7 linked regions of the Sus scrofa genome follow. The protein of the gene in region 1 interacts with the protein of each later gene in a pairwise test. Links are inferred from orthologs where the notes say so. Each region holds a gene or a part of one and is shown on either strand. Other genes may lie near its edges. The genes, in order: UBQLN1, RASSF5, TMUB2, HSD17B12, TRIM23, MIEF2 and UBE2V1.

Evidence for each region.
Region 2: the proteins of UBQLN1 (region 1) and RASSF5 interact in a two-hybrid assay, tested with the Homo sapiens proteins (3 studies listed by BioGRID and IntAct). The link is inferred for Sus scrofa from reciprocal best matches to the Homo sapiens genes UBQLN1 and RASSF5.
Region 3: the proteins of UBQLN1 (region 1) and TMUB2 interact in binary tests that used the Homo sapiens proteins (3 or more experiments, as listed by UniProt). The link is inferred for Sus scrofa from reciprocal best matches to the Homo sapiens genes UBQLN1 and TMUB2.
Region 4: the proteins of UBQLN1 (region 1) and HSD17B12 interact in binary tests that used the Homo sapiens proteins (3 or more experiments, as listed by UniProt). The link is inferred for Sus scrofa from reciprocal best matches to the Homo sapiens genes UBQLN1 and HSD17B12.
Region 5: the proteins of UBQLN1 (region 1) and TRIM23 interact in binary tests that used the Homo sapiens proteins (3 or more experiments, as listed by UniProt). The link is inferred for Sus scrofa from reciprocal best matches to the Homo sapiens genes UBQLN1 and TRIM23.
Region 6: the proteins of UBQLN1 (region 1) and MIEF2 interact in binary tests that used the Homo sapiens proteins (3 or more experiments, as listed by UniProt). The two-hybrid records come from large-scale screens. The link is inferred for Sus scrofa from reciprocal best matches to the Homo sapiens genes UBQLN1 and MIEF2.
Region 7: the proteins of UBQLN1 (region 1) and UBE2V1 interact in binary tests that used the Homo sapiens proteins (3 or more experiments, as listed by UniProt). The link is inferred for Sus scrofa from reciprocal best matches to the Homo sapiens genes UBQLN1 and UBE2V1.

What each region holds. Positions count from the first base shown.
Region 1 is NC_010452.4:31,310,416-31,313,915, reverse strand, and holds part of UBQLN1 (ubiquilin-1), read right to left. Parts: intron 1,724-3,500; coding exon 1,640-1,723; intron 416-1,639; coding exon 300-415; intron 37-299; coding exon 1-36. UniProt on the Homo sapiens protein: Plays an important role in the regulation of different protein degradation mechanisms and pathways including ubiquitin-proteasome system (UPS), autophagy and endoplasmic reticulum-associated protein degradation (ERAD) pathway.
Region 2 is NC_010451.4:67,155,839-67,159,966, reverse strand, and holds the start of RASSF5 (ras association domain-containing protein 5), read right to left. Parts: upstream 2,801-4,128; 5' UTR 2,635-2,800; coding exon 2,178-2,634; intron 1-2,177. UniProt on the Homo sapiens protein: Potential tumor suppressor. Seems to be involved in lymphocyte adhesion by linking RAP1A activation upon T-cell receptor or chemokine stimulation to integrin activation.
Region 3 is NC_010454.4:19,021,209-19,025,448, forward strand, and holds the start of TMUB2 (transmembrane and ubiquitin-like domain-containing protein 2), read right to left. Parts: upstream 2,801-4,240; 5' UTR 2,233-2,800; coding exon 2,198-2,232; intron 695-2,197; coding exon 128-694; intron 1-127.
Region 4 is NC_010444.4:18,608,961-18,613,005, forward strand, and holds the start of HSD17B12 (very-long-chain 3-oxoacyl-CoA reductase), read right to left. Parts: upstream 2,801-4,045; 5' UTR 2,653-2,800; coding exon 2,493-2,652; intron 1-2,492. UniProt on the Homo sapiens protein: Catalyzes the second of the four reactions of the long-chain fatty acids elongation cycle. This endoplasmic reticulum-bound enzymatic process, allows the addition of two carbons to the chain of long- and very long-chain fatty acids/VLCFAs per cycle.
Region 5 is NC_010458.4:44,108,292-44,111,791, forward strand, and holds part of TRIM23 (E3 ubiquitin-protein ligase TRIM23), read right to left. Parts: exon of another isoform or gene 2,646-3,500; coding exon 2,516-2,645; exon of another isoform or gene 2,036-2,515; coding exon 1,925-2,035; exon of another isoform or gene 1,499-1,924; coding exon of another isoform or gene 1,460-1,498; intron 450-1,459; coding exon 325-449; intron 1-324.
Region 6 is NC_010454.4:60,472,896-60,477,049, forward strand, and holds the start of MIEF2 (mitochondrial dynamics protein MID49), read right to left. Parts: upstream 2,801-4,154; 5' UTR 2,641-2,800; coding exon 2,418-2,640; exon of another isoform or gene 2,083-2,417; intron 574-2,082; coding exon 416-573; intron 265-415; coding exon 84-264; intron 1-83. Other genes in the region: FLII (protein flightless-1 homolog), read left to right, coding at 2,892-2,954. UniProt on the Homo sapiens protein: Mitochondrial outer membrane protein involved in the regulation of mitochondrial organization.
Region 7 is NC_010459.5:51,640,499-51,643,998, forward strand, and holds part of UBE2V1 (ubiquitin-conjugating enzyme E2 variant 1), read right to left. Parts: intron 1,179-3,500; coding exon 1,030-1,178; intron 1,024-1,029; exon of another isoform or gene 843-1,023; intron 7-842; exon of another isoform or gene 1-6. UniProt on the Homo sapiens protein: Has no ubiquitin ligase activity on its own. The UBE2V1-UBE2N heterodimer catalyzes the synthesis of non-canonical poly-ubiquitin chains that are linked through Lys-63.

The sequences.
Region 1 (3,500 bases):
CCGGTGCTTCCTAGTGCCCCCAGGCCAGGAGTAAACCTAGAAAAAGGGCAAACTGGTAATAACTGGTAATAAACCTAAACTCCTGCAAAACAAGAGGCCAGACCAGGCCAGGTGACAGCAAATCAGTTACATTTTAACAAGAACATTAGCTAAGTTATCTTCTTAAAATAAGTGTTTTTAACTTTCAAAACTTTTAAAAGCAATTTCCACCAAAAAAGGGGGAAGAATAATATTAAGCCTGAAATTCTCAGAGAAAGTAACCACTGTGCACTTTCACAGTCTTCCCCAAAGAAGCCTACCCTGGGATGAGGCCGGGGGCTTCCGTTGCTAAAGTCTGTAAACCCTGCTGAATCTGCAACAAGGCTTGCATCGCTCTAGGGTTTGACATTGCTGATAATGTATCAGGATTCTGCATCTAAGGAAGAAAGAAAAACTGTGGTAGTGAAGGAATTAAAACCAGTAAAGGTAAAATTTTAAATGTTTTCTTTGCTATGCTTCTGGAGAAAATCTAAAACCTTACTCCTAAACACTAGTTAATTCCTCATTTCTTCCCAAAATAAACATAAGCACCTCCTCTTTGATAGTAACCTAGTGTGCATATTGTTACCTGACCTCCTCCCAAGTCCATCACGAAAGCCATTTTTCATAATGAAAGACTATCAGGAGCTCCTCTGGAAGCCACAACTCTTCCCCTTTCCAACAGATAAAAGTACTGTTTCTAAGAGACAACTTCCAAATGCACAATTTATATAACATGATGATATGGTGAAAACCACGTATTCCTCCTGACCAAGAGTTATCTGTTATTGATGTAACAGTTTTACCAGTAAGATACACGCTAAAACAATAGTTCCAAATTTGAAGTTAATGCATGTGTCCTGGGTTCAGCTTCTACTTCCAAATACACACCACTTGACTAACCAAAAAGGACAGGCTTACATCATTACAATAGATCAAGGACACTAACTAACCTTGGATAATGGTTTACAGGCCTGAGGATCATTGGCATAATATTTAAAAGCCCTCCTTAGAACTACCAGTTTCAAAATGCCAAGACTGACTTCTCTTTTATCTTTTTAAATAATAAAATACCATGGCAATCTCAAGTACTTTTTTAAATAAAACCTTCCTTATATGACAACAACAATTTAAATCTTGCTAATTCCGAGTTTGAGGAATGAGTGCTACCCCCTAGAAAACTGGCATTCTATTAATTTGAAGGAATTAAAACATTACAAAGAAACCAAACATATAAAATAGGATAGGGTAGCTAGCTCTTTCCTGTTTCTCGAGATTAGTTAAACCATACAGTGTAACATGACACAATGAAGCACTTCAAAGTTAGTAAAGTGAAAGGAAATGGTTTATGATATTAACGAAGCATTCAAAATCCTAAATCCTCAAAAGCAAAAATCAAATGGTCCTTTCCTCAGAATTTATGTTTAAAAAATACCAGCAAAAGGTCAGCAATGAAATGGGGCTCAGTTAAGATCAAGCTGAATTCTCTGCAAATTGACAGCATTACCAGACTCTATTCTATGTTTTGCTATCAGCCAGAGAAGAGCAAGGATAATGTTTATCACCAAACTTTTTTCAAGCAAATAATTACCAAAGATAGCTAGCATCTTTTCTTACTCACTTGTTGGAGGAAAGTTGGGAGTTGTTGTCTCATTTGTTCTTGAAGCTGAGGATTTCCAGCAAATAGGGGATTATTCAGCATCATCTATGGGGCAAGTGTTCAAACAATTTTAACTGGAAATATCTGAAACAAGTAATGTACCTTGTTTAATAGTCTATCTTCCCCCAAGTGCCTAACCTGGCACTTAACAGTGAGGAAGGTAGAACATGAATTAAAAAAGGGAAGAATACTGTCCACAAGAGGGATCTCCAGAAAAAACAAAACTGAGGCATCTTCTCTTTCAATGAGAATGGTGATTATGATAATGACATGCAATATCCTAAAAAATAAAAGCAATCATTTTTTTAGGCTTTTCCTTGAGCAAAGGTATCTGCCTTTGAAGGAAAAATAAGAGTAAATGGCATTCATGAAGATACGTTTTCCACTACACTGACAGAATAAACATAGCATCAATACATGAACTATGCATGGCTTGCTTAGACACCTCAACACACAAGTGGCAAGCATAGAGAAAATCCACATCTGGAACCACTATATCTACCTGCCTACTACAAAACAGCTAATATTAGGTACAGAAAAATAACACAGCAGAACAGCAACCACCTAGCCAGAGAAGTGGAGCTACTAGTGAAAATCAGCCCAGGACTAGCACCGATAGATCAATCTCTGGGGGAAAGTATTAAAATGCTTTAAGACCTTAAAAATATAAAGCCATTTGAGAACACCAAGATTAACCTCTGGATTTCACCTCACTACCACCAGAGTTGAGAAAAACGGCATGCCTCCTAACCTTCAAATGGGTGTTAAGAACTAAAAAGTCAGGGTCAATATTAACACAATGTTGCATACCAGGAAATAAGATAAGGATACACGATCAGCATAAACAGAAACTGATATACTCTCATAGCTTCAAAAAGACAGACTTTATATCACTTTCCCCAGGTAGAGTGAAAGGTCAACAAAGATTTACTGACAGCCTGCTTACCAGTCTACAAGTCAGAGGGGAAAATGACCCTTGCCCTCAAGTTAATTAACCCTATTTGAGAGTAATTACATGTTAACTACTACAAGTAGAATGAACTGTTCCCTCCCTCCTTTAGTTTATTCTATCATTGCAAAGTAGACTTAGTTAATTTCAACAAAATAACTAATGCAGGAGGAAGTCAGACAATGTTTTATGGATTTACAGCATTTATTTCAAAGTGACCAGTAAATTCACAGTAAATAAAGTAAAACCTCCTTGCCAACAAACCTGCTTCTTTAACGGCTCCAGTCAAATAATATTTTTTTTATTATGAACAAATCAATAAAGTTATCACATTTATCTTTTAGGATTCATGTTATTTGAAAAGTATGTCATTTTAAACTGATTCATCTCATTGGATTAGGATATTTCTCCTAACTTACCTGACTGTATATAGCAAGAGTTTTTATAATCAGACTTTTTTGAATACCTAAAAATCAAAATCAGAATAGAGAGAACGACAAACTCTTATCTGCTGGTAATCAAAGTACACTATAAATGCTCGTAACAACTGTCTACAATAAGACAATTCATACCTAGCCTTCTTATAAAAGCAAACATTTCACTTTAAAAAACATGTGAAAGTGCTCAAGTCACTTTATAAATGTACTATTTTTCATTTAAATGGCTGGAAGTGTGCTTGTTAAAGTCAAAAAAATTTTAAAGCAAGATACACATTTAGGGAGTTCCCGTCGTGGCTCAGTGGTTAACGAATCCGACTAGGAACCATGAGGTTGCGGGTTCGATCCCTGCCCTTGCTCAGTGGGTTAACGATCCGGCGTTGCTGTGAGCTGTGGTGTAGGTTGCAGACGCGGCTCGGATCCCGCGCTGCTGTGG
Region 2 (4,128 bases), on another chromosome or scaffold:
GCGGCCCTAAAAGGGACAAAAGACCAAAAAAAAAAGTCATGTTTTTGACCCCTGCTTTTCAAAACAAAGGTAAAACAAACCAACCCCACCGTGGAATTAGAACTTCAACTAAAAGAAAGATGATTGGTGAATGTGGCCTCTCCCTGCCAGCCACCAGAACATTTCTCAACTGTTCCCATCCAGCCACAGGTCCAAAATCAGTTAAATATTAATAACAACAAACAGAGACTCCTCTCTGTAGCCCCTTGAGTCCAACTCTGCTCCCTCTCCGACATTCAGTATTAAATCACCTCGCTGGGGGCCACCAACTGACACACAGAGTCAGAGGACATGCCTGTGCATCTGAGACTTCCTGCCGCCAGAACCTATGGATGAACTAATCAAAGGAAACAATTCTAACGTGAAGTGAGCATCAGGTCACTTAATCACGGAGTACCACGCACACACATATACACACAGACTCCATTATCAACAATACCCTCTGAAAATCATAAAATTCTATGCCAAACGTTCAACAATTGATACAGTTCTCCAATGTCTTCATACAAACTAGAATTCCAGGGAAGCGGATTTCCTGGGATTCCAGCACAATAAAACCCATTACAGTGAAGATACTGCTTCTCTGTGTGTTTCCAGGGTTGGTGGAGGCAGGAAAGTACTCCAGAACCCTTGAGAGGACAAAAGCTGCCAGGACATCTGTGGGAAAGTTGATCTGATTCCCCGGAAGGTCAGGGACATTTAACCAAGTGACAGCAGCCCTCCACCCACATCACACACCTCTTACAGCTTGTGTTCTTTCCTTTTCAATTAGCACCTGAACTGAGTTCTGGTGGTGGACAGAGCAGCACCCATTTGCCCCTCCAATCTTCCTCTTCCACTTGACCCTGACCTAGAGTCTGGGCTCTCCTTCCCTGAAGCCAGCTGCAGTGAGAGGCACACACGGCACACAGCCTTGGGTGTGGATGGCAGAGAGAGGGAAGGTAGGGTTTTCCTGATGTGGATGTAGCTGCTGCTGTCCAGTGCTGTAGCTGGATGGGAGCTGTGGGGCTGCTGGCATCTGGGAAGGGCCTTTGCTGAAAGATGCAAACCATAGGCCATTTCCAGAGATGCTTGCTAGAGGTTGTATCACTGTCTGTGCTTTCTGCTTCAGATATTTATACAATATCTGAAATATCTATACAAACACATAAACACATGGGCAGGGATATCCTCTGCCAAACGTGGCAAATATGGGGGTGGCGTGGGGGGGTGGGAAGGGGACATCCACTAAAGAAACACACACACCTAACTGCTGGAAGAGAAAAATAATAAACCCCCAAGAAGACTGCAAATTTCCTCAGAAAATCTATACACTGGATGCCTAGGGCTTTAATAGTTAGGCTTTGAGAAGAGTCTGGCTCAGGAGGAGGCTGGAGGGACCCGAGAGCTCTGAGGAAGAAGGGACAGCGCAAGCAGTTGGGTAATTTTTGAGCCTGATGACTGGTGCTGTAACCTAGGACGAGGAGGAGGGGGCGGCAGGGCACAGAAAAACATCAGAGCAGAGTCCAAAGGTCTGAGGGGCCAGAGGTGGAAGGCAGGGGACACAGGTCCAGGGTCACCTCAGGCTCTCTTCAACCTCACAGCCCCTTTCCATCCAAAGCCTGATCAGGTCCCCTCCCTGGCACAACAGGTCACCCTGTAGGAGGGTGACCATAGGCAGGTATGCGCCATGGGCCTGTACCATAGGTGGACAATTCATTTTGCCATTAACCCTAATGAGTAAGGGTCAAATGATCATCTCAATATCAGCCTCACAACCCATGGCCAAGAACGTACAACAAAAGCAAGACGGTGCACAGCAGACAACGGAATGACCTTGTAGCTTTAGCCATCAACCCCAACCTGCGAGTGTGTATACGTGTGTGTCTGGGGAGGTGCGAGGCGCACACCTGTCAGGGAAGAGGTAGTCGTAAAATACCACGTAACCGTACCTGGGCAGTGGCTGTTACTGAAGGATAGCGGGCAGGGGACTAGGGAAAAGAGTGTCTCCCGCAGTCAAAGTCAAGGTCTCCCCTGGAGCCAGAGACGGCAATGTCCCCTCTCTGCCTGCCCCGGCCCCCTCGCAGTGGCTTGCCCATGGACTGCGGTCTTCCCGCGCGCCCCTCCTCTGCCCTGCCCTTCCCTGCCCGCACACTCACTAGCGCAGCGCAGCGCCTGCCGCAGCACCTCTCGTCCGCACAGGTCACACCAGCCCCGGCCGCTCCGCAGCGCCAGTTCGGCAAAGCAGTGCCCCTCGCCTCGCTCCGCCGGGACGCGGGGATCCTGTGGCTGTTCGAAGATGCTCCGCACGTCTCGGGGCCGGGGCGCTCCAGGCCGCCGCCGCAGTCTCTGCTGCAGACCAGGCCGGAGAGGGCGAGCGGGTCGGGAGGCGCGAGGCTGGGACTCCACGTCTCCTCGAGCAGCCCTCCGGGCGCCGCGCCCCTCGTGCGCCTCAGGCGCAGTGGACAGGGGCGCGGGGGCGCAGCGGCGCGAGGACGGGCCCGGGGGTGGCGGTGGCGGCTCGGGGCCGCTCAGGCTCGGCAGATAGCGCGGCGGTTCCGGGTCCAAGAGTAGCCGGTACGGGCGCTGCCCGATGGCCGGGGACGCCATGGCCATGCCGGGTTAGTGGCGGCGGCTCTCAGCCGTGGCGCTCCTCCCGAGTCCGCCTCGAGAGAAGGGCGGCCCCAACCGAGCGCGCCTTTAAAGGGACCGCAGCCTGCAGGGCGGGGCGGGGGTGGGGAGACTTCCGAGAGGCGGGAAGGAGGACCCGAGGGAACCACCTACCGACCCAGCGGCAGGGGTGGGGGTGGAGGGGCTCCTGAGAGAGTGTGGATTTAGAGGAGTCTTCGGGAAGCTGGGGCAGCTCAAGGATTGCGTACGCGAAAAGCTCTACACAGGACAACTCAGAAGAGACATTTGGTAGGGGGACGCTCGCCCTCAGCCCTGCCTCCTTTCCTTTCCCATCAGTTCCCCCAACCCCAGACCCTCCCCAACGCGCCCAGGGGAGGGCTTCGGACCGGATGAAGAAGCTTAGGAACTAGCTGAGGATGGAGTGTAGGGAGATGTCTACAAGCTCAGGATCCGTTCGCCACCCTCCCGGTGGTCGCTTGCTCGCCGCCCTCCCGCTCGCCATCACCCGCCGCCCCCTTGCGCACAGAGCCAGGCGTGGGTCGGGGATGCCCGGCTCCCGCTCGCGCGCTGGCGGCGGCGCAGAGTCCCGTGACGCGGAGGGACGCGCCGCGGGGGACGCTTCCCATGCCGGTGGCGAGAAGCCGCCTCCGCGCGGCCGTCAGGACTGTCCGCTCGCCACTTTCACTCTTGTTTGATTTCCCCTCTCTCAGCAGCCCCGTCGGGTAGGATATTCCTTTCCCGGAAGGCTGGGAATTATAGTACTCCTGGGCCCTGGGCTGTGAGACCACTCCAGCGCCCCGTGGGTTGGAAGGGCTTTTCTTCCTAAGTCAAACCCTCTTCTTCTCATAGGTGCCATCGTAATTCACTGTGGAAATACTGCTGCCGCCGACGCAGCCGTGCCCTGCCCGCAGACGCCTTGCTTGTACCTGGTAAGGACAGCTCACCCAGTGGGACCAAAGAGAGAGCCCCTTCTACCAGCTTCCAGGACAGGCTTCGTAACCTCTCCCCACCTCTCGAGTTTAATGCCCTGCTATCACCGCCTTGAAAGCCTTAATAATTTTTGGAACAAAAGATCGGCATTTTCAATGTCCCACACATTGCATAACCGTGACCATCTCTCATGGGTGAGGAAACGGAACTGCTGAAGCTTTGAACCTGTGTGTCTGGCCACAGACTTGCTGACCCTGGCTGTAGCCGCTACAGTTTCCTTAACTAAATTGTCCGGGAGTGGGGAGACAGATGGATGCTTTTCCCACCTTCTCCACTTTCACCATTCTGACTCCCTGATCACTGCCTGGTCTCTCAAGACTTGGGGTTCAGTTTGGTTAATTTAACAGAAGTCACCGGTAAATCAGCTTTGGAAAAACGCGAGAGAGGGTGCCTCCTCTTCCCAGGCCAGAGATGGGTCTCCCCCTAGTGTCTCCTAGGGGAATCTTTGCTTTTGCTTTTTGTTTTCCCCTTGGAGGTGATTTTTAGGTA
Region 3 (4,240 bases), on another chromosome or scaffold:
TTCTAAGAAAGTGCGGGGCAGGACCTGATGCATCCCTGCTGTCCCCACTCTATCCTGGCCTCCTCCGAGGCGACCAAGGGCTGGGGGCTTGGGGTTTGAGCAGCCTCCCACTTCCCAGCCCACTTACCTCTTCAGAGCACCCACAGTATCCTCTGGCCTGGCCACAGCCAGCTCCTCGGTGTCATTGAGGAATTTGAGCCGCACATTGATGAGGCTGGGGCCGGAAGGGAGGCAGCTGCTCTCCTCGGATCGCAGGGGCGCCTCTGGCCTGCCGTTCTCTGGGCCTGCGTGTCTTTTGGGCAGGCCTTGGATGTCAAGCAGATGCTCGAGGCTGGGTTCAACACCACCCCCAGCTCCAGGCTCCCCTGTGGAGTCTCCCCCACCTTCGCCAGCCTCTTCAGCCTTCTCATCACTACCCTCTGATGGATGGGGGAGTTCGGTTGGCTCGGGGGTGCCTTGGCCTGCCACCAGATGGTCCACATGCCCCAGGTGGAGGACGGATGTGTCGCCAGCTGACACAATAGTGCCCAGGAGCTGGTTGCTACCGCTGTCTGCTACATAGGTAGAAAGCCAAGCTAGGACCAAGGCTAGAATCAGCACCACCACACCTGCCACCACAGTCACCTCATTACCCACTCCCTCAATAAGGGTGACATCAGAGAGCTCCATGGCCTGGTTGCTGACTGGGTCCACACTGCAGGAACAAAAGGGGATAGGGTCAGCAGGGCCTGAGGGCTTGCAACCAGGTTTCCTGTTTGTTTAGGTTCTGCCTGACCCAGCCCTGACAGAAAATGGAGTTCACTGTCCTGCAGAGAGGGGCACAAACCTTCCTAACTCCGGACCCCAACCCAAGGCTACAGACTTAGCCTTTGCCTCCACTGTGAAAGGCTGACTTTCAGACTCCACACCCTTCCTGTCTCACATTCCAACCCCCCAATGAGCATGGGTCATCAAGGAAAGCTTACAGTTTCATTGTTGCTGCTACTGCTACTGTTTGTTGCTTTTTGACAGGTAGGGAAGACACTGGCTTCTTTGAGACCTAAGTTTCTCTAGGATTTCTACCACTCGGTAAAACAACGACGACACCTCCCTGGCAAAAGGCCTCCAAGGCAGCTTCAGAGAGACTAAAGAAGCCTGGAATATTTTACTTGGGGGTCCTTTTGGGAGGCACAGCACGGCCACTCTGGCCAGGTTATCTCATTTGAACCCAATCTCATTCATGGTCATGGATTTAGGTCCAGCTGTTAAGAGCCGAAGAAAATTAATCTATCATCAAAAGCAAAGCCAGGAGTTCCCACTCTGGCACAAGAGGATCGGCAGTGTCTCTGCGGTGCCAGGATGTAGGTTCGATCCCTGGGCCGACTGGGCCGGAACAGTGGTTAAGGATCCGGTGTTGCCATAGCTGCGGCGTAGGTGGCAACTGTGGCTGGGATCTGAGCCCTGGCTCGGGAACTCCTCCATATGCCTTGGGGCAACCAAAAAAGAAAAAAAAGCAAAGTGAGACCACCTCAAAGGGACAACTCTGTAGGGGCCATCACTAGACCCTATGCAGCAGACACTGTGTCTGCCTCCTCTTGAAATTCTCCTGGCAGTGAAGCAGGACACACACACAGAAACACCACCCTCCTGGGTTACCACAGGCTCACAACTACAAAACCGCTACCTGCGTGGAACTAATTTGGACAAGATTCCAAATGGCTCTCACAATCCATTTTGCAATCTTTCTTCTTGTAAGGTGGCCTCCTCCCTTGGCAGTGTCTTAGAAAGGCAGTAAGGATCTCTATTGCTCCTTGGAGTCCCTACTCTTTCCCTTTGAGATCTGCTGCTTTCATAGCTGTCCCTGGGCAAATCCCATCTAATGACTGTCGTTACCAGCCTGTTCTCACAGCATCTATAAAACTTCATTATACTTATCTACCTGTCCATCTCTCTACCAGACTCCTGGAAGACAAGGATCACATGTATTTTTCTGTGTCTCATAGAGCCCAACATAATCCCATAGCAGTTGCTCAAAGAATATCTGTGGAATATATCAACATCTGAATAATTTCCAATAGTACATGGGCCTTGGAGTCAGAAAACAAATAAACAAACCCAAACTACAAACCCCGTCTTGCCTCTTACTAGCTCTGTAACCTTAAATTCCTCGGGGCCTCAGCGTTCTCATCGGTAAAATGGGATTAAAAATAGTACCTACCTCATAAGGTCGTTTTGAAGATGAGGAGAGATCATCGAAGCAAAATACTTAGCACAGTGCCCAGCACATTGCAATTGTTCAGTAACAAATAGTAGCAATCATTTATCACTCTCACAACTAACCCCTGATGGTAAGGTTAATATCATTAACCCTGACTTACAGAAAAGAAAACTGCGGCGAATAGAGGCAAACACGACTGGCACAGGCACAGGGAACTTTTGTGGGAGGGGCCGGGCAAGACCCCAGGTCTCCCTCGGCGGAGGCCTTTGCTCTCTCCTCAATCTGTGAGCGACCCTTGATGGCGCGGTGAGGAAGGGTCCCCGATCCTGCCTATCTGAAGCGAAGGCTCCGCGTTTGGGCGGTCCTATTCCCGCGACGCTGGGGAGGGGTCCGTAGGTCCAGCCGAGCCGAAAGGCTGTCTATTCCCCGCCACAGTTCCCAGACCCAGTTCTTCCGGCCCAAGAGGGGTAAGGGAGGGTGAGGGGGTCACAAACCATCCACACCCCTCAAACTTCGGGGCGGGGCCGGGGAACTGGGGGCGGGGCTTGAGTACGCGGGGGAACATGGGAAATTAAAGGGGGACTGGACCGGTACCGCACCTGGATAAGGAAGGAGGTCCTCACCTGAAACGGCCAAACTAAGTGTTTTGACTTCGTCAAGACGGCCCATGGACTCACCTTTCTTTAGGGAATCGGGGAGGGGGCTGACTAGCCCCAATTCTGTTCAGGGTCCAGTCTCTTCCGGCTTCTCCCGGAAGCTGTTAGAACCAGAGACAGGAAGTTCCGCCTCTGCGCCTTGCACTGATGACGAAAAGCTACGTAAAGCGGGCTGACGTAAACGTATTCTTTAAATAAAAGGGACAGGTTTCTCGGCGGAAGGAGGGGCGGAGTCGTTGTTGGCGGGATCCTGGCCCTCCCGGGGCCGAGCCACGCCTGGTGGGCGGGGCCTAAAGAGCTAGGGGTGAGGAGTGGGCCCTGGAGGGAATTAGGGGAGGTGCTTGGGTAAGGGGCGTGGCTCCGCGTCTGGACGTCAAAGCTGGATGGCACCTCTGGGCAATCTAGAGCTACCCTTTCCTCTTTCGCAGCTTTCTCTATCCGGTCTTGCTCCCAACTTCCCAGACTGATTGGACTTATTACTGTCCAACAACGCGCACTGAGCTCTGGGTTAGCGGAATCAGCAGGCACTGGTCTTTCTGAGCGCCACGAGTTCAAATCAGGGCTCAGTCGGGAGCCAGGCGAGGAGACGATTTAGTAACCAACCATTCGGTGTTTCGAGATTGCGGCTCCAGATAGTGTGGCACCTTGGTAAATAAGGTGAGAAAGCATTTCAAAGAAGGCACTGATTTTTTTTCTAGGCTTGGGGTACAGGAATGGCAAGAGCCCCCAAAAAGACAGGTTTAATTTACAAGAATTTATCTGGATTTTTGCAATTAAATTTTGTTCTAAAGAGGTTCTGTGGTTTTTGCTGTTTTCCGGAGCTGCCTATGTGACCTACACCACAATTCACAGGAACAACAGATCCTTAACCCACTGAGTGATGCCAGGGATCGAACCTGCAACCTCTGGGTTGCTAGTCGGATTTGTTTCCAATGCTCCAGGATGGGAACTCCATAAGTGTTATCTTTTGTTGTTGTTTTGTTTTGTTTTTAGGGCCACCTTCGTGGCATACGGAGGTTCCCAGGCACTAGGGGTGGAATTGGAGCTGTAGCTGTGGCCTATACCACAGACCCAGGATCCCAGGATCTGAGCCTCATCTGCGACCTACACCACAGCTCCTGGCAACACAGGGTCCTTAACCCACTGCGAAAGACCAGGGATCGAACTGGCTTCCTCATGGATACTAGTCGTGTTCATTAACCACTGAGCCACGAAGGGAACTACTCTGGTGAACTATGGATTGAAGAAGTATAAATAATGCAGATGGTCAAGCTAAAAAGCGAAAAGCTCAATAGTTTTCACCACAGAACAGACCAGGGGAACCAGGTCTTAAGAAATAAAAAGATACCCCAAAACCTCCCTTCAGTCCTCTTCCAGCCACTATCTT
Region 4 (4,045 bases), on another chromosome or scaffold:
AGAAAACTTATCAGTATTACATACAAACATTAATTCTAAAATCCCAAAACTTTGGTTGAACAAATTACCTACTTTTAATCAAAATTTAACCGTAATTATGCAAGTGTTATCTCCGCTGGTTTGTTTTCCAAAAATTTCACTTTTTCTTTGTTATTCAAAGAGTCCCTGAATTGGGAGAGAGAAAGCAAGAAGTAGTTTCTTTTAATATCCAGGCCACCACACGTGTGTAGTGTTACAAATAACTTGATCATTTCTTCTGCTTCCATACTTGAAAAGAGATTCCCCAAAACACAAACTGAACAGTATTTCACTTTACCACACTGTGAGCCTCTCTGCTATATCCTATTGTTCTAGGTTAAATGTTACTTCTAAATCTTGTCAGTATTTCCCTTAATTCATCAAACATCTTTCCTCTGGGGCCAAATCTTTTCAATATAAGTATTACTCATAAAATGACAATGTCACATCACTTGGCTTTTACTATGGATTCATATAGAAACAACTTAGACCATCTGAGTTATCAGCAACTACAGTCAATTTTAGATAGCTAAAAAAAAAGTTATTCCCAAGAGTCTTTTTTGCTTTTTAGGGCCACACTTTCAGCATATGGAACTTCCCAGGCTAGGGGTTGAATTAGAGCTACATACAGCTGCCGGCCTATACCACAGCCACAGCAACTTGGGATCTGAGCCGCATCTACAACCTACACCACAGCTCATGGCAATGCAGGATCAACTGACTGAGCGAGGCCAGGGATGGAACCCGAGTCCTCATGGATACTAGTCGGAGTCATTTCCGCTGTACCACAACAGGGACTGCCAAGAGTTTTACTTATAAATTACAAAACTAATCCATCTTAATATATAATTTCCTAAGGCACTGGAGTTTTATGCAACTATTTCGAAAGTCGACAAGCAAGTTTTCCGAGCCAAACAACTAAGAACTTGAGCAAACCAACTGTGAAATTATAATTGATTACACATCACTTGCTTTCTCAACGATTAGAAAATCAGTGACTTTTTAAAATACATATTATAATGTTAACAGCTGCTTCACAGATTCATTCCTACTTGAGATGTTTTCTCTTTATGTTGCTATCCCCAAAGTGTAATTTATCTTGTTTTTCCTACCAAGTTGTTGAAATGTTTTCAAGTGAATAAAGAATATAGAGTACCATTATTTGCACATCTTATTTGAGCCTAGTCTGAATGCAACCCCGAACCACTCAGCATTCCATAAAATGCTTTGTGAACATTTTATTATAAAACTGAAGAACAGGAGTTCCCATCGTGGCTCAGCAGTAATGAACCCAACTAGTATCCATTGGGACGTGGGTTCGCCCTGGCCTCCCTCAGTGGGTTAAGGATCCCACATTGCCTTGAGCTGCGCTGTAGGTCGCAAACACTGCTGGGATCTGGCGTTGCTGTGGCTATGGTGTAAGCCAGCAGCTATAGCTCTGATTTGACCCCCTTGCTGGGAACTTCCAGAAGCCACGTGGGAGGCCCTAAAAAAAAAAAAAAAACTGAAGAACACATAATCACATCTTCGATCTGTACATCACTCAGTTAAAACAAAACAAAAACAAAAAAAAAAACCCTAAAAGAAAAGAAAAATAAGGAAAGAAAATCAACAAAAAAGGCAGAGAAAGAAAAAAGGCACACGCAAAACTTCCCTGCAGATAATTTTCTCAACTTCTCTAATCTGACCTTTCCCTTCCATTTTCCTCTAACTAGATAAACAAGATCCATTTGTTTAGCTCACTCTTTATGGGAATACTTTTTCCTGCAAATGTCCTGAAAAAAAAAAAAAATTCTGAATTCTACTTGAAGAGTTACCGTTTTTGCAAAAGCAATAGTTCTTGCCACCCATTAGAACTCCAGACCAATTTAGCAAAGATTAAAAAAAAAAAAAGTAAATTATATGAAATAGACCAAACCCAAGGCTCCAAAGAGCAGAAAGTCTTCTGAAATTCTCTGTCCTCTTCCTTCACCCTCACCCCAAACAAGCAACAGAATGCTTTTCATCTTTAGCACAAGGCAAGTGTTCAAGCCAAAAACTTTATTTTAAAAATACTCATAAGGGACTAGCCATGTGGATAGAGTGTGACCGAGCAAGCAGCCGGGCGACGAACTCCAGTCGGTGAAGCCGGAAAGATTTAAAGGTCACAAGATCCAGGGAGCTGGGGTCAGATTTCTCCCGCACCCACCAAGTGGCCCTTCAGATTCTCTGAGTTAGGCCAGCAATGTATTAAGTACTTACAAACTCCACAAGTCTAAGCAAGCCGGAAGATTTGCTTAGGGAACAGGCGGGTACGCGGAACAGGGAACAGGCGGGTACGCGGAACCAAGGAGTCTCAGTAAAGAGGAGAGGGGAGCTGGGGACCAGAAGGCCAAGCGCTGGGCCAGGACCTGGTCAGCGCAGACCAGGCCCAGCCGGGAGCCGCGCGGGCCGCCGAAGGAGCGAGGGGGATGGCGGCGCTGGAGCCGACTCACCTGCCCATTCACCGAGCCACGGGCCGACCCCCGCCTCGTGACCCAAACCCCAGACCCGAAGGGCCGTGAAGAACCAGCACGAGATGCGCAGAGCCAGGTAGGCCACGGTGCTCGCGCCCACCCAGTACAGGAAGCCCGCTGCAGGCAGAGCTGTTTCCATGGCTTTCAACCGGGCCTCACTACCTTCGCGAATGAAAAAGACGAATGAATGAATCCAAGAAGAAGCGCCGGCCGTGACGGTGAAGACTACAGCAATAGGCGCTGCTCCTACAAAGATTTTGGCCTAAACCCCGCCTATGGCACCATTTCCGTGCCGCAATTGGTGGATCTGTGGGTCTCGCTGCGCGTACTTCATCAGCCATTGGCTGATTCTAGTTGCGCTGCCCCGCCCAGACTCCCCTTAGCTGTCGCCCACTGGCGTTTCCGTCTTAAGGCGGCTGATCGCTCACCTGCCAATCAAGCTTCAGCCCTGTGCATCGCGGCAACGCGCCCCAGGATTCCGCCAGAGCGCAGGACGTCTCACCCTCACCAAATTGCCCGGGTCTCTCATTGCTGGAGAGTCCTGGCCCCAGCGGTAGCGTGTGCTCGGATTGGCCAATCAGATCCAACCTGCTTTGAGCTGGGTTTGAGGAGGAAATGGGTGAATGGAAGGAAATATTGTAGTAAGAAGTGGACGGGGAGCCTCGGTTTTATTTTCATGTCTTTATTAAACAATTCTGCATCATTAAGTGTGGTGTCGTTTTTCCCATAAGCTTTTCCGAATAAATGTTTTCATCTCCTGTTTCTGTACGGTCCCCACAGCACACCTTCGCTCCGGTTACACATCCTAATGGAGGGCTTTCTAAGTGCCAGACTCCCTCCCTCACTGGCATTAAACAACATAGTTCCCAATGTCTTGGACTGAAAGGTAAATAAGAGGGATCACAGAGTTAAATGACTATAATACCCAACGGTTTTAGATCTATAAAATGAATGAAAAATAGATTATGGGAACACAGCTTGATGAACAATTAGTTTGGAGGACTCCATGTTTTAACTGGGATTTAAAGGGCTACAGAGGGAGGAATGATGAAGGCGCACAAAAGTGTACAGTCCAAGTAGATGTATAACCACCTCGCCAAAGTTCCAGAGGAGTAGAGTCCAAGGTAAGTTTAAGAAATTGTCTAATGACTTATATCCAGACAAAACTATATTTCAAAAGGATTCACGCACCCCTATGTTCACTGTAGCACTACTCACAATAGGCAAGACATGGAAACAACCCAAATGTACATTGACAGATGGTTGGATTAAGATGATGTGGTGTATATACACAATGGAATACTACTCGGCCATTAAAAAGAATGAAATTTGTAGTAACATGGATGCAACTAGAGATATCATACTAAGTGAAGTCAGGAAGAGAAAGACAAATACTGTATGATATATATCATATGTAGAATCTAAACTATGGCACAAGTGAACCTATCTACAAAACAGAAACAGACTCACAAACATTTAGAACAGACTCGTGGTTGCAGGGAGGTGTGGAGTGGGATGGACTGGGAATTTGG
Region 5 (3,500 bases), on another chromosome or scaffold:
GACCTACACCATAGCTCACAGCAATGCCAGATCCTAACCCACTGGGCGAGGCAAAGGATGGAACCCATGTTCTCATCGATACTAGTCAGGTTCTTTTCCATTGAGCCACAAAGGGAACTCCTACATAGGAGTTTCTGGTGAGCATCAACTACTTTATTTCTTTTGGTATACTCCAAGGTACCAAGTACAGCACTTTCCATAAAGATTGTACTCAAAATATAGAACAGAAACTTTGTAAATATCTAAATGATTTCTCTTGAAATAGTAACAGCTACCTATAATATGGAATACTAAAATAAGTATTCTGAAATACAAATGTGTCACCTGTTTGTTAGCAAAAATCAGGAGCAAAGCATCTCGGAGTTCCTTTTCCGTCAACAACTTTGCAAGTTCACTGTGTGCTTCACTAACTCTGTCTCTGTGACTGCTATCAACAACAAATACAACAGCTACCAAAAGAACGTAAAAATGTTCAATTAGTCACTTGTTAAGTTTCAGCAAATGGACCAAATATTTTAATGTTCTCATTATGATAATCTATGATCATTTTCACAGAAAGGCTGCCAATTATAGGAGCACCTAGCAATAATTAATGATATGATCTCAAGTAGTGAACATAACTTTTCAATTGTTGTTTCCCAACCTATAACAGGATTTACAACACTTGCACTACCAAATAGAAACTGCTGTTCATACCATTTAAAATTTTTTTCTTAATGAATGAAAATGCAGCTCTCCTGATCTACTTGCTGGTGCTACTTCTTCGATTATTACTTCATTTACAAAAAGTCTTTGCTTTTTTTTTTCTTTTTAAGACTGCACCTGCAGCATATGAAAGTTCCCAGGCCAGGGGTTGAATTGGAGCTGCAGCTGCAGCCTACATCACAGACACAGCAACACAGGATCCAAGCCACATCTGTAACCTACACTGCAGCTTGCAGCAACACTGGATCCTTAACCCACTAAGCAAGGCCAGGGTTTGAACCCGCATCCACACAGAGAAAATAGCAGGTCCTTAACCTGCTGAGCCACAATGGGAACTCCAAGACAGTTTTTTAAAAATAAATAAATCACCATCTTTATCTCCCCAAAGTATTCTCTGTAGGTGCCTGTAATGGCATGTTCCATAGATTAGACTGAAAATACACAGATGAAGCTTCATAAATAGATACTGAATTAATTCTCTTTAAAATATTTCCAGCTTCCTCCTGTAGCTAAACATCCCAGACTTTCAACCATTCTTCATACTCAAAATTCCCTTTTTTCCCCCTTAGTCACTTGCTCATACTAAACTTAATATCAAAAATCCCAAAGTAAAAATTATCTAGTCTTTCTTCTAGGTGGAAAATAGGATGATATATGAACATAAGTTTCAGGAGGTAAAGCATAAAATGAGGCCCAAATGCTAAGTGGAATATATGTGATATAACACAATTTGGTCAAAAGCAAACCACTTCAGGTTCTTCTGCAGATAACAACTAATTGTGAATGGAAATGAAGGAGTGGAAGCTATTGAGAGAATATAATGGAATTGAACTGAATAGAGTAACAGAACTATACCCCACAAATTCTACTCTATACGACAATATTGCCAGTGATCATGCTCATATGAACATTAATACTAATCTTTGTTAAAAGCAGCAAGAGGTAAGTATGCTTAACTGTCTACATATATAACATAAATATGGTTGTTATGCTATAATTATGCTTTTCATGAAATAACCCAGAGTACATATCCCAGTTTTTCTAATTTTCTTAATAATGTTACTAATTTTCTTAATAATGCGGTGTCTGCTACAAATATATAAAGGTATAGTTACATATTTAATCAATGCTAAAGCATCAGTTTTATTACCTAATCAATGCATTGAAAACTGGCATCCTAAAAATTTGAAAAATTATAATGTAACTCTTATACTCTTACCTTGGGTATTGAGGTAATAATGTTTCCACAATGGTCTTAATTTGTGTTTTCCACCTACATCCCAAATGGTGAACTTTAGATTTTTATATTCTACAGTTTCCACATTAAAACCTGTTTTTAAAAAAAGTTTCTTTAATACTAAACTTATATTTACAATGAATGACACAACAAACACAGGCAACACCATTTACAACTGTAACTTACAAATTATCTTCATACAACAATATCTACTGCTGCCCAACTAACTCCACTCCTAATAAGCATACATGAGGAAATTAATACCTTTAACCAGAGCTCTTAGGACCTTGACACTGAAGTGCCAGCTCTGCACCACTACCACCTCCTCACCCCAAATCCTTAGCCAGTCATCAATCCTTTATTCCTTGCAACTGTACCACCAATATTCTGTTCCTTCTTACTATCCCTCTATCCACATTTCAGTTAAACAGCCACTGAATATTCCATTTTTTTCTCCATGGCAGAGCCATTCTCCACAGCAGACAGGCATAAAATAAGGTCCTAAGAACTCAGCTATAAGCTAGAGTTTGTATGTAAAGTGTCCATTAAAGATAAAGCAATACTCATACTTACCAATTGTTGGAATAGGCTGCATAAACTCATCCTGTTTTAATTTAAACAAAATAGTAGTTTTTCCAGCACCATCTAATCCTAATGTGACAACTCGAATTTCCATTTTTGGTCCAATGTGAACTCTATTGTCCTATAATTTTTAAAAAATTTAATCTTTTTATTTTGTTATGGAGTTAAAAGTATTAGCACTTAACACTTTTATTTACAAAAAACTTCTGTTAATTATTTGTCTCCTACTCATTCCTCAATCCATTAAAATCAGTTTAAAATACCCTGATTCTGATATTCTCAGAGGAATCACTCCTCATTGCTTTGCTAAATCTTGGCTTAGTAAAACTTACTACATACTTTGTTTTAATACAAGTTAAAAAAATATACACATCCACTTCTTTATCCCAGATTTTCTAGCTCAACTGAATCTTCTTTAAATAAAATTTTTATGCTGAGTTAAATATATTAATTAAAAATGAAAAGTGATGCTCATTTCCCATAAATATCCACTGTTAACAATTTCATGTATGTCCTTCCAGACACCTTTCTGTGCACACATTGGTTGACATACATAAAACAAATATACTTTAAAAAAAAAACATATTTCAACTAACTTTTCACAATTAACATTATGGAAATCTTTCATTTCAAAACATACAGACATACTTTTCCTTTCAATTGCTTCATTATATTCCATAAACCACAATTTAACTAATCTCAACTGAAAGATACTAGGTCATCTCTGATTTTTTGATATTATAAATAATGCTGCAATGAACATACTTGTATATATTGCTGCATGACCTCTCTGCCTCACTTCTCCCATCTGTAAAATGGGGAATGAAAATAGCACCAGACTTATATAGGATTATTGCATATATTAATTTTTAAAAAGACATGTAAAAATCCTTAAAACACGTAGCCCATAAATGCTATATAAATGTCAACAATTATTTTACTTCCTCATTTGTGCACTCTTTTTGGCTTTTGTGAT
Region 6 (4,154 bases), on another chromosome or scaffold:
AGTGGCAGAGCCTGGGCTGCGTCTCCAGAACACGACCACCAAATAAGGGGCCCACCCAGGTCAGACGGGAGGCGTCAGCTCACCTGGGGCAGAGGGTGAGGGGGCCCGGAGTGGCACCGACTGGCTGAGGGCGGCGGGTGGGGGCCGACGCTGGAGGCACGGCGTGGCCTTGAGCAGGCTCAGTTCCTTCCAGCTCTCCTCCAGGCACGTGGCGTCCCCCTTGGCATCAGCCTCATCCTGAGAGCTGGTGGCCCTGTCGATGAGCTGCAGGCAGAGTGACATGGATGAGGGCATCTGAAGCCCAGGCAGCCGCAGCAGAGCCAAGGGCAAAGCGATCTAGGCTGGTGGGGCAGAGGCAGGTGTAGCCTCGGGCACTCCCACCACCCCTGGCCCACTCTGGCCAGCCCCACCGTACCCGCTTCACAGCCAGCGTGGCAATGCCCAGCACGGCAGCCCCGCCCACACCCAGCACCAGGCGGGCATTGGCCAGGAGAAAGTCCACAGCGCTGCCCAGCGCCTCGCCGTCACGCCGCTTGCCCCGATTCTGGGAGAACTCTGCCATGGTTGGTCCACCTGTAAGAGAGCCAGGGCACAGTGTAAGAGAGCCAGGGCACAGTGACTGCTCAGCTGGGGTGGGGGGGGGGCATGGCCAGCCTGTCAGCAGGACAGCAGGGTGACATCATGCCAGGGTCACTGAGTCAGGGGGCTTCCTGAGAACTTCTGAGAATGGGGCCACTTGCAGGGTTTCCTGGGAGGCCTCCCTGCCCAAGTGCCCCACCCAAACCTGCAAACAACCAGCCCCCCGGGTCTCAGAGGGAAGGCCCTGAGGCCCACGGCAGGGCAGGGAAGGGAGGCCACATCCATCCCACCCTCAGGACCCCCGACGTCGCCAGAGACCGTGAATGAGATGGATCTCACTGCCACCACCCCCACTTTGCAGAGAATCAGGTGGCTGACCCACACGGTGAGTGCAAAGCCTCTAGACCCTCACCCTCCCCACGGTCAGGTCCCAGGGGTGGCCTCGTCCTGGTTTCTGACCAGGGCTGGCAAAGCTGGAGGAAACCAAGGCCCAGAGAAGGCCACAGCTTGGGGTCCTAGCAGCTTGCCCTGAACCCCTCTCAGACCTTTGGGGTCACCTCAGTGAAGCTCAGGGGGCCTCAGCTATAACCCCCCACCCGCCAGTCTCAGCAGGGCAGCCCCCAGAGGCAGAACTGTCGAGTCTGAGAAAGCGAGGTCGCTGCCCCGGGGGTGGGGGCAGGAGCTACCTGCAACAGGTATGTGCCAGAGGAGGTTAAAGGCCCCACTGTGAGGGCAGCTAGCAAGGTGACTCAAGACTCCAAGCAGGGCTGGACAGGGGCCTCCCGGGTTTGGGACAATGCTGGGTTGGGAGGCCTCGGCTGCTGGGAGGCCAGGCCATGGAAGGTAGCTGTGGATCCGAGGCCCTGCGTTTGCTCATCTGCAAAGTGGTGCAGGTGCGCTAGGAAAGGTTTAAAGTAAGTGGCCTGGAAGGGATGAGCTGGGGTGGGACCGAGTGAAGAGGGTGTGACCAAGAGACAAGCCCAGGACACCAGTCAGACGGCCCGGCAGGACAGCTAAGGACGCCTGAGCAGATGACTCTTAGCTCAGAGCCAACTCAACCCCAAGGACTTCTGGCCGCCCTGCTTTGGGCGGGTGCCCGGCTCAGCTGCCAGGTAGGGCCTGCAGCCCCGCACCCACGCCTCGCTCCCAAACTAAAAATAGGAAAGACGGCCGGGGTTGACCCAGCATGGCCCTTGGAAGGCTTCCTCGTCGGAGATGAGTACTGCCACCGCCCCCCTGCCTGACCTGGGTCACCGCCCAGCTCCTGAGGGGGCTGCGCACACCCCAACCAGCGAAGGGGAGAGGGCGCGGCCGGGCCTCCCCTCCTCCTACAAGCCCCGGCTGGCGAGGGCACCGAGGCCCTGGGGACGCCAGGATGGACCCAGGATAGGACCCATCCAGACAGGACCCGAGCTCGGAGGCCAGCCCCAGCCCTTCACCAGTGGCCCTTTCCCGGCCGGAGAGCGCACCCAGGGAGGCCACGCCCCCACGCTCTGGCCGTACCTGCGTCGCGGCTTCGGCACACCTGCCGGCGGACACAGGGGGCCTGCTCGGGCCGCGCACCCCGGGGCCGTCCGGGAGTGGAACGTGAAAGACCCGGGAACCGAACGCGGAGGCCCGGGGGGCGGGCGCGTGCCCGGCGAGCAGACCGGCAGGCTCTGGCTCCAATCGGAGCGCTCGAAGCCTGCGCCCACGTGCCGCCCTGAGGCGCGCTCAGCCAATGGCGGCCGCGCGCTCCTCGGGGCGGGGCTTCCCGGCGCGCTGCTTCTTAAAGGGACAGGGCCGCGCTCCCAACCGCGACGGGGGAGAAGGCGAGCTTCCTTCTAGCTGGCACGCACCCTGCGGGCCTCTGGGTCTCTGTGGTCTGCTGCTGCCTTTCTCGTGAAGGGCACAGCGGCCTTGTCGCCTACTGGGGCTGCCATGTGCCAGCCAGGGGACGCCTCCCTCGGGGGACGAATGAGAACGTAACTGCACTCGGAGTCGCCTCCAAGCGCGGGCGCCGCGCCCCAGGGAGCGCTTCACGGGAGGCAGGCCCGCGGCTCTGGCTGAGGACCCTAGCATCCAACTCCCGCTGCCCCGTGCGCCCAGGCCTGGGTCCCGAGCCACCGGGGGCCCGGGAGCCAGCAAGCGCCGGCTGTTGAGCCTCGGGCGCCGAGGCCGAGTCCGGAGCAGAGGGCCCGGCGGCGGCGGCGGCAGGCCGAGGGGCGGGGCCGACGCGCGCCCCGCCCCGCCCCCGCGGCGCCCCGCCCCGCCCCGCCCAGCGCCGCCGGCCGCCCGCGCCCGCGCCCCGCAGCCTGCCGAGCTGCGCCGCCATGGAGGCCACCGGGGTGCTTCCGTTCGTGCGCGGCGTGGACCTCAGCGGCAACGACTTCAAGGTGAGCCCCCGGGCGGCGGCCGGGCCTCCCCCAGCCCGCCCCTCCGCTTCCTGCGGGCCCCGGACCCGCGGACCGGCTCGCTGGGCCTGGGCCCCGTCCCGAGCCGACCGCCGCGCCTCCGTCCCGCGCCCGCGGCGGGCACCCAGGCAGAACGCCGCGGGCGCGCGCGGAGAGCCCCCACCGGGCTCCGTCCAGGCGCCGGGCCCCACCCAGCCGGCCCGGGTCGGGAGCCTGTGCCCCCGCCTCCCCAGCCCTCCCTCCCCGCCCCTGTGAGGTCACACGCCCGAGCGGAGCCCTGACTCACGGCCGCGCCGCCGTCACTGCCCTGCCCCCTCCTGCCACCCCCATCCTGTGTGGTCTTGGGCAAGTCACTTCCCTTCTCCGAGCCTCGCTTTCTCATTCGAGGAAGGCACTTGAGATTAGTCTTCCGAAGGCAGGGATGCGTTTTCGTGGCGAGTGCGTCTGGCAGGTGTCGAGACCCAGGCGGCAGTTGTTTGAACAGCTGCTGAACTGAACAACCTGGGTCTCAAGGACCAGGCACTGGGGATGAGGGAGGCTGTTTTGGAGACCGGGAACCAGGCGGGCAGGGCTGGGCACCGGAGAGGAGGCGGGGCAGCAGCAGAGGCCAGAGTCAGCCTGGCTCCAAGAGGGTCATCTCCTCGGCAGGATGGGCCAGTGGGCAGACTCCGGCTGGGGTCAGTATAGTGTCAGCCCGGGTGTGCAGGGCCCAGCGGCCCAGGCTTTGGCTGGGACCCCGGGGTCGGGCCAGGGCTGAGGAGGCAGGCTTTTCTTCCTGCCTTGTTCCCTGTGTGCACCCTTGACCCTGTGCCCAGGCAGCCATACCACTTTCCTCTGCCTCCTGCCCACCATCCTGTCTGGGGGTCCCCACGTGTCCTGTACAGAGTGGGAGAGTCTGAGTCACCAGCTGGGAGTTGTAGCCGTAGGGGGAAGGGGACACCAGCCAAGGGCAGTGAAAGCACACACTGCCTAGGCCCCATGCCACAAGGGTGGGGGTACTGAGTGGGCATTTGGTTGTGGGAAGAGCTGCGAATGAGTGAACTAACCAACGGGGCTGAGGCTGGGCGACTGGCGGGGCTGGGGAGCTGTGTGCTGACGGCAGGGTGGGAGCACAGGTGGGACCTTGGAGAAGCTGAGGGGTACCCCTAACCCAGGTGCCACAGCAGGTTCGGGATGCCAGGC
Region 7 (3,500 bases), on another chromosome or scaffold:
CAGGGCCTTGCGTGAAATGAAAAGAATGAATGAACATCACCATCCTTAAGCACAAGCAGACACAGGAAAGGGCCTGATGCATTCAGGCAGAATCTCTTACTGCTTGTCTGAAACAAGTGTCACATAATTGGAATCTATTTCTTCATATCTACATCAAATTACTACTTACCACTCTAGGATATTCTCTAATGGGAACAGATGAAAACTCAAAATATAAATAGGAAGGAGACAATATAGCATAGCGTTAGGAGCACAGGCTCTGGAGTCAGACCTGGTTTGGGAATAATCAGCTACATGACTTTGTGCGGGTAACTTCACTTCTGAGTTTCTTTCCTTATTATCTGTGAAATGGAATGCAACTACACAATGGTAGCATCTAACAACAGGTTCTGGCATTAACTGGCATTTCTAGGGGGGTTACTATGCACCATAAAAAAAGGTTAGCTGACATCACGAAGGCTGGGAACTCGCAAACCATGAAGGTCTCCAAGAGAGGTCACATTCCCCCTTCCCACTGTCGTCTTCTCTGCAAAGGCCTCTGGGCCTGGAACAGACCCAAGCAGACTAGGCAGGCAATAACCCTTTGCTGAATGGCTCAATGAATTAGGAGAGAGATGCATGGTAGGACTGGGAAATGATGAGTAAAAACCACAACCAAGACGGCTTTCCAAAGTTCATCTGGATATTGTCTTCAGGAATGTTGGCTGTATCTGGGAGTCGTGTTATTTGATAAGCACAAGAGTTTGTTCCAAATCTGCATCTGAGGGTGCAATTACCTCAAACCTCACTGTCTACATTGTCATGTAAATTCACACTATGAGTCTGAACAGGTTTTTGCTTACCATTTAGAGGGATTAAACAGCATCAGAGGAGGTTCAAATATATAAACTGAAACTGGTCAAAAAAGAATAGCCACATTTCAGAAACTATACCATTGGTGAGCTTTTTCCGTGATAAGGCTAATATTTTTTAAAAGGAGGCACAGTGAATTTAAGACATTGACATTTATAGCCGTAGCTCGACGCTTACTCTTGGAGGCCCAATTATCATCCCTGTCCATCTTGTAAGTGTCATGTCTTCGTCATCTTCTAGACCCCAGCTAACTGTGCCATCTCCTACTCCTTTCTGGCCTTCTTCGAGTTCTTCCAACAGTCGGAAATTGCGAGGGACTTTTACTCCTAAAATAAATGGAGAAAAATTCAAGATACTAGCAACTCCAGGGGAACTTGTAAACCTACAGCTAGCTGCTCAATAGCACCACCTGAGAATAAAGATGCTTACATGCAAAAAACTGCTCAAAGTTGTCATACCTCAAGCTTGCTGCTTACGAGGCTATCCGTACTGACCAGCACAACGAGAAGGAAGGGGTACCCGGTTTGTTACAGGTGAAGTGACGATTAAACCAGGGCTACTGACCGAACCTAGAAAGACACCCCACCCCCACAGCTTTGAAAAACTTCATAAAGGGTTTACATGTCATAATGTTGATTAATTTAGGCCCACTAGTTTGAGATGAAAACTGTCAATAAAGTGATAACAACAGTTCCTTGGAAGAAAAGACGTGAGTCTACTTCTTTTGTTCTTATTGTACATTTCTGAGTCTAAGACATGCTCATTTACTGGAATGACTCCCAAACTACTTTAGGAGGAACAGCTGCCCTGACCGTATCACATAACAATGGTGTCCTCTTGATCAACTCAGAGTCAACTGAAAGCAAGAATGAAAAATTTCAAATATTTAAGGCATAGTTTCTCTCTTAACTTGTGAAAAAGCTAAGAGGGCAGCCAGCACTCTGCTTTACCTGTTTCCAAAAACCCCAAAGGCCAGCAAGTAGCTCATGGAATCAAGCAAACAACATGTCTCACAGGTTCATGCCCCTGTACCCAGAGAGGCTTGCACTGTTTCTGGGTGTCTTCCAGAGCAGAATCTAGGTTCTCAGCCAGACAGGGATGGTGCTCTCCCGACCAGTCCTGCCAACCTCTCTCCCCACTCCCCTCTTCAAGCCCTGGCACTTAGACTATTTCCACTGGGAAAAACTCAGGATCCAGGCAAGTCACAAGCTTGCTTTCTTTCTTTTTTTTAGGGCCCACACCTGCGGCATATGGAAGTTCCCAGGCTAGGTGTTGAATCAGAGCTACAGCTGCCAGCCTGCACCACATCCACAGCAACAGAGGATCCAAAGCTCATCTGTGACATACACTGCGGCTCATGGCAACCTATATCCTTAACCCACTGAGCACGACCAGGGATTGAAACTGCATCCTCATGGATACTAGGGTTCCTTACCACTGAGTCATAATGGGAACTCCCACAAGCTGTCTTTACCGAGCCCCCAAATGGCCAGACTCTCAGAGCCACGCAGCGCTTAACACATGACCATGAAGAAAAACTCACTGGAGGAACTCAAGACTGTGGGAAGTGTTCCCAGTATATTTCAGTATTTCCCAAGGTGTTCAATACATTATTATTAATTCAACTGGACTACCGGAGGAGTTCCCATGGTGGCTCAGTGGTTAAAGAATCCCACTAGGAACCACAAGGTTGCGGGTTCGATCCCTGGCCTTGCTTGGTGGGTTAAGGATCTGGCGTTGCCTCAAGCTGTTGTGTAGGTTGCAGACGTGGCTCGGATACTGCACTGCTGTGGCTCTGGTGTAGGCTGGCAGCAACAGCTCCGATTAGACCCCTAGTCTGGGAACCTCCATATGCCGCCGGAGTGGCCCTAGAAAAGGCAGGCAAACAAACAAACAAATCAACTGGACTATCTGAGCATCTACTTTGTCAGGCACTTTTCTAGGCACTAGAAAACAAGCAGTGAACAACAAAAAAAATGCCGGTCCTCATGGAGCTTACATTCTAGTAGGAAACATATACAAATTATGCAAATTACCTAAGTATGACAGATGGTGGAGTTCTGGAGCAGAGAGTAATGCTTGGGGGAGTTACAATTCTAAATAGGGAGCATGACTTACGGGTAGCTGAGGGGAGTCTTCCCAGCAGAGAAAACAGTAGGTGCAAAGGCCCTGAAGTAGGACCTTTCCCAGAGCATCTGAGAATAGCAAAGATGCTGATTTAATAACCAAGTTAGTGAGATCAAAGAAAAGTACGAAATGAGGGGCTCCAACTGTCAAAAAGCCACTGGTGTTTTGAACAAAGCAATGACAGGACTTGTTTTTAACAGGATCCCCCTGGCTGCTGTATACAGTGACGGGAGCTAGGGTACAAACAGCTAGGAGGCTATAGCAATAATTCTAGCAAAAGATTACAGGTATTAGCAGTGAAGGTGGTGAGAATATAGCATAATTTTATTTTATTTCAGAGGTCACAATTTTAGATATTTACTGTCAGGCTGCCTAAGAATGTGAGATGAGAGATCTCTGATGGCCTAGTGGTTGGGATTTTGTACTTTCACTGCTGTGGCCTGGGTTCAACCACTGGTCTGGGAACTGAGATTCCACAATAAAAGACGCTGCATGCCATGGCCAAAAAAAAAAAAAGTGTA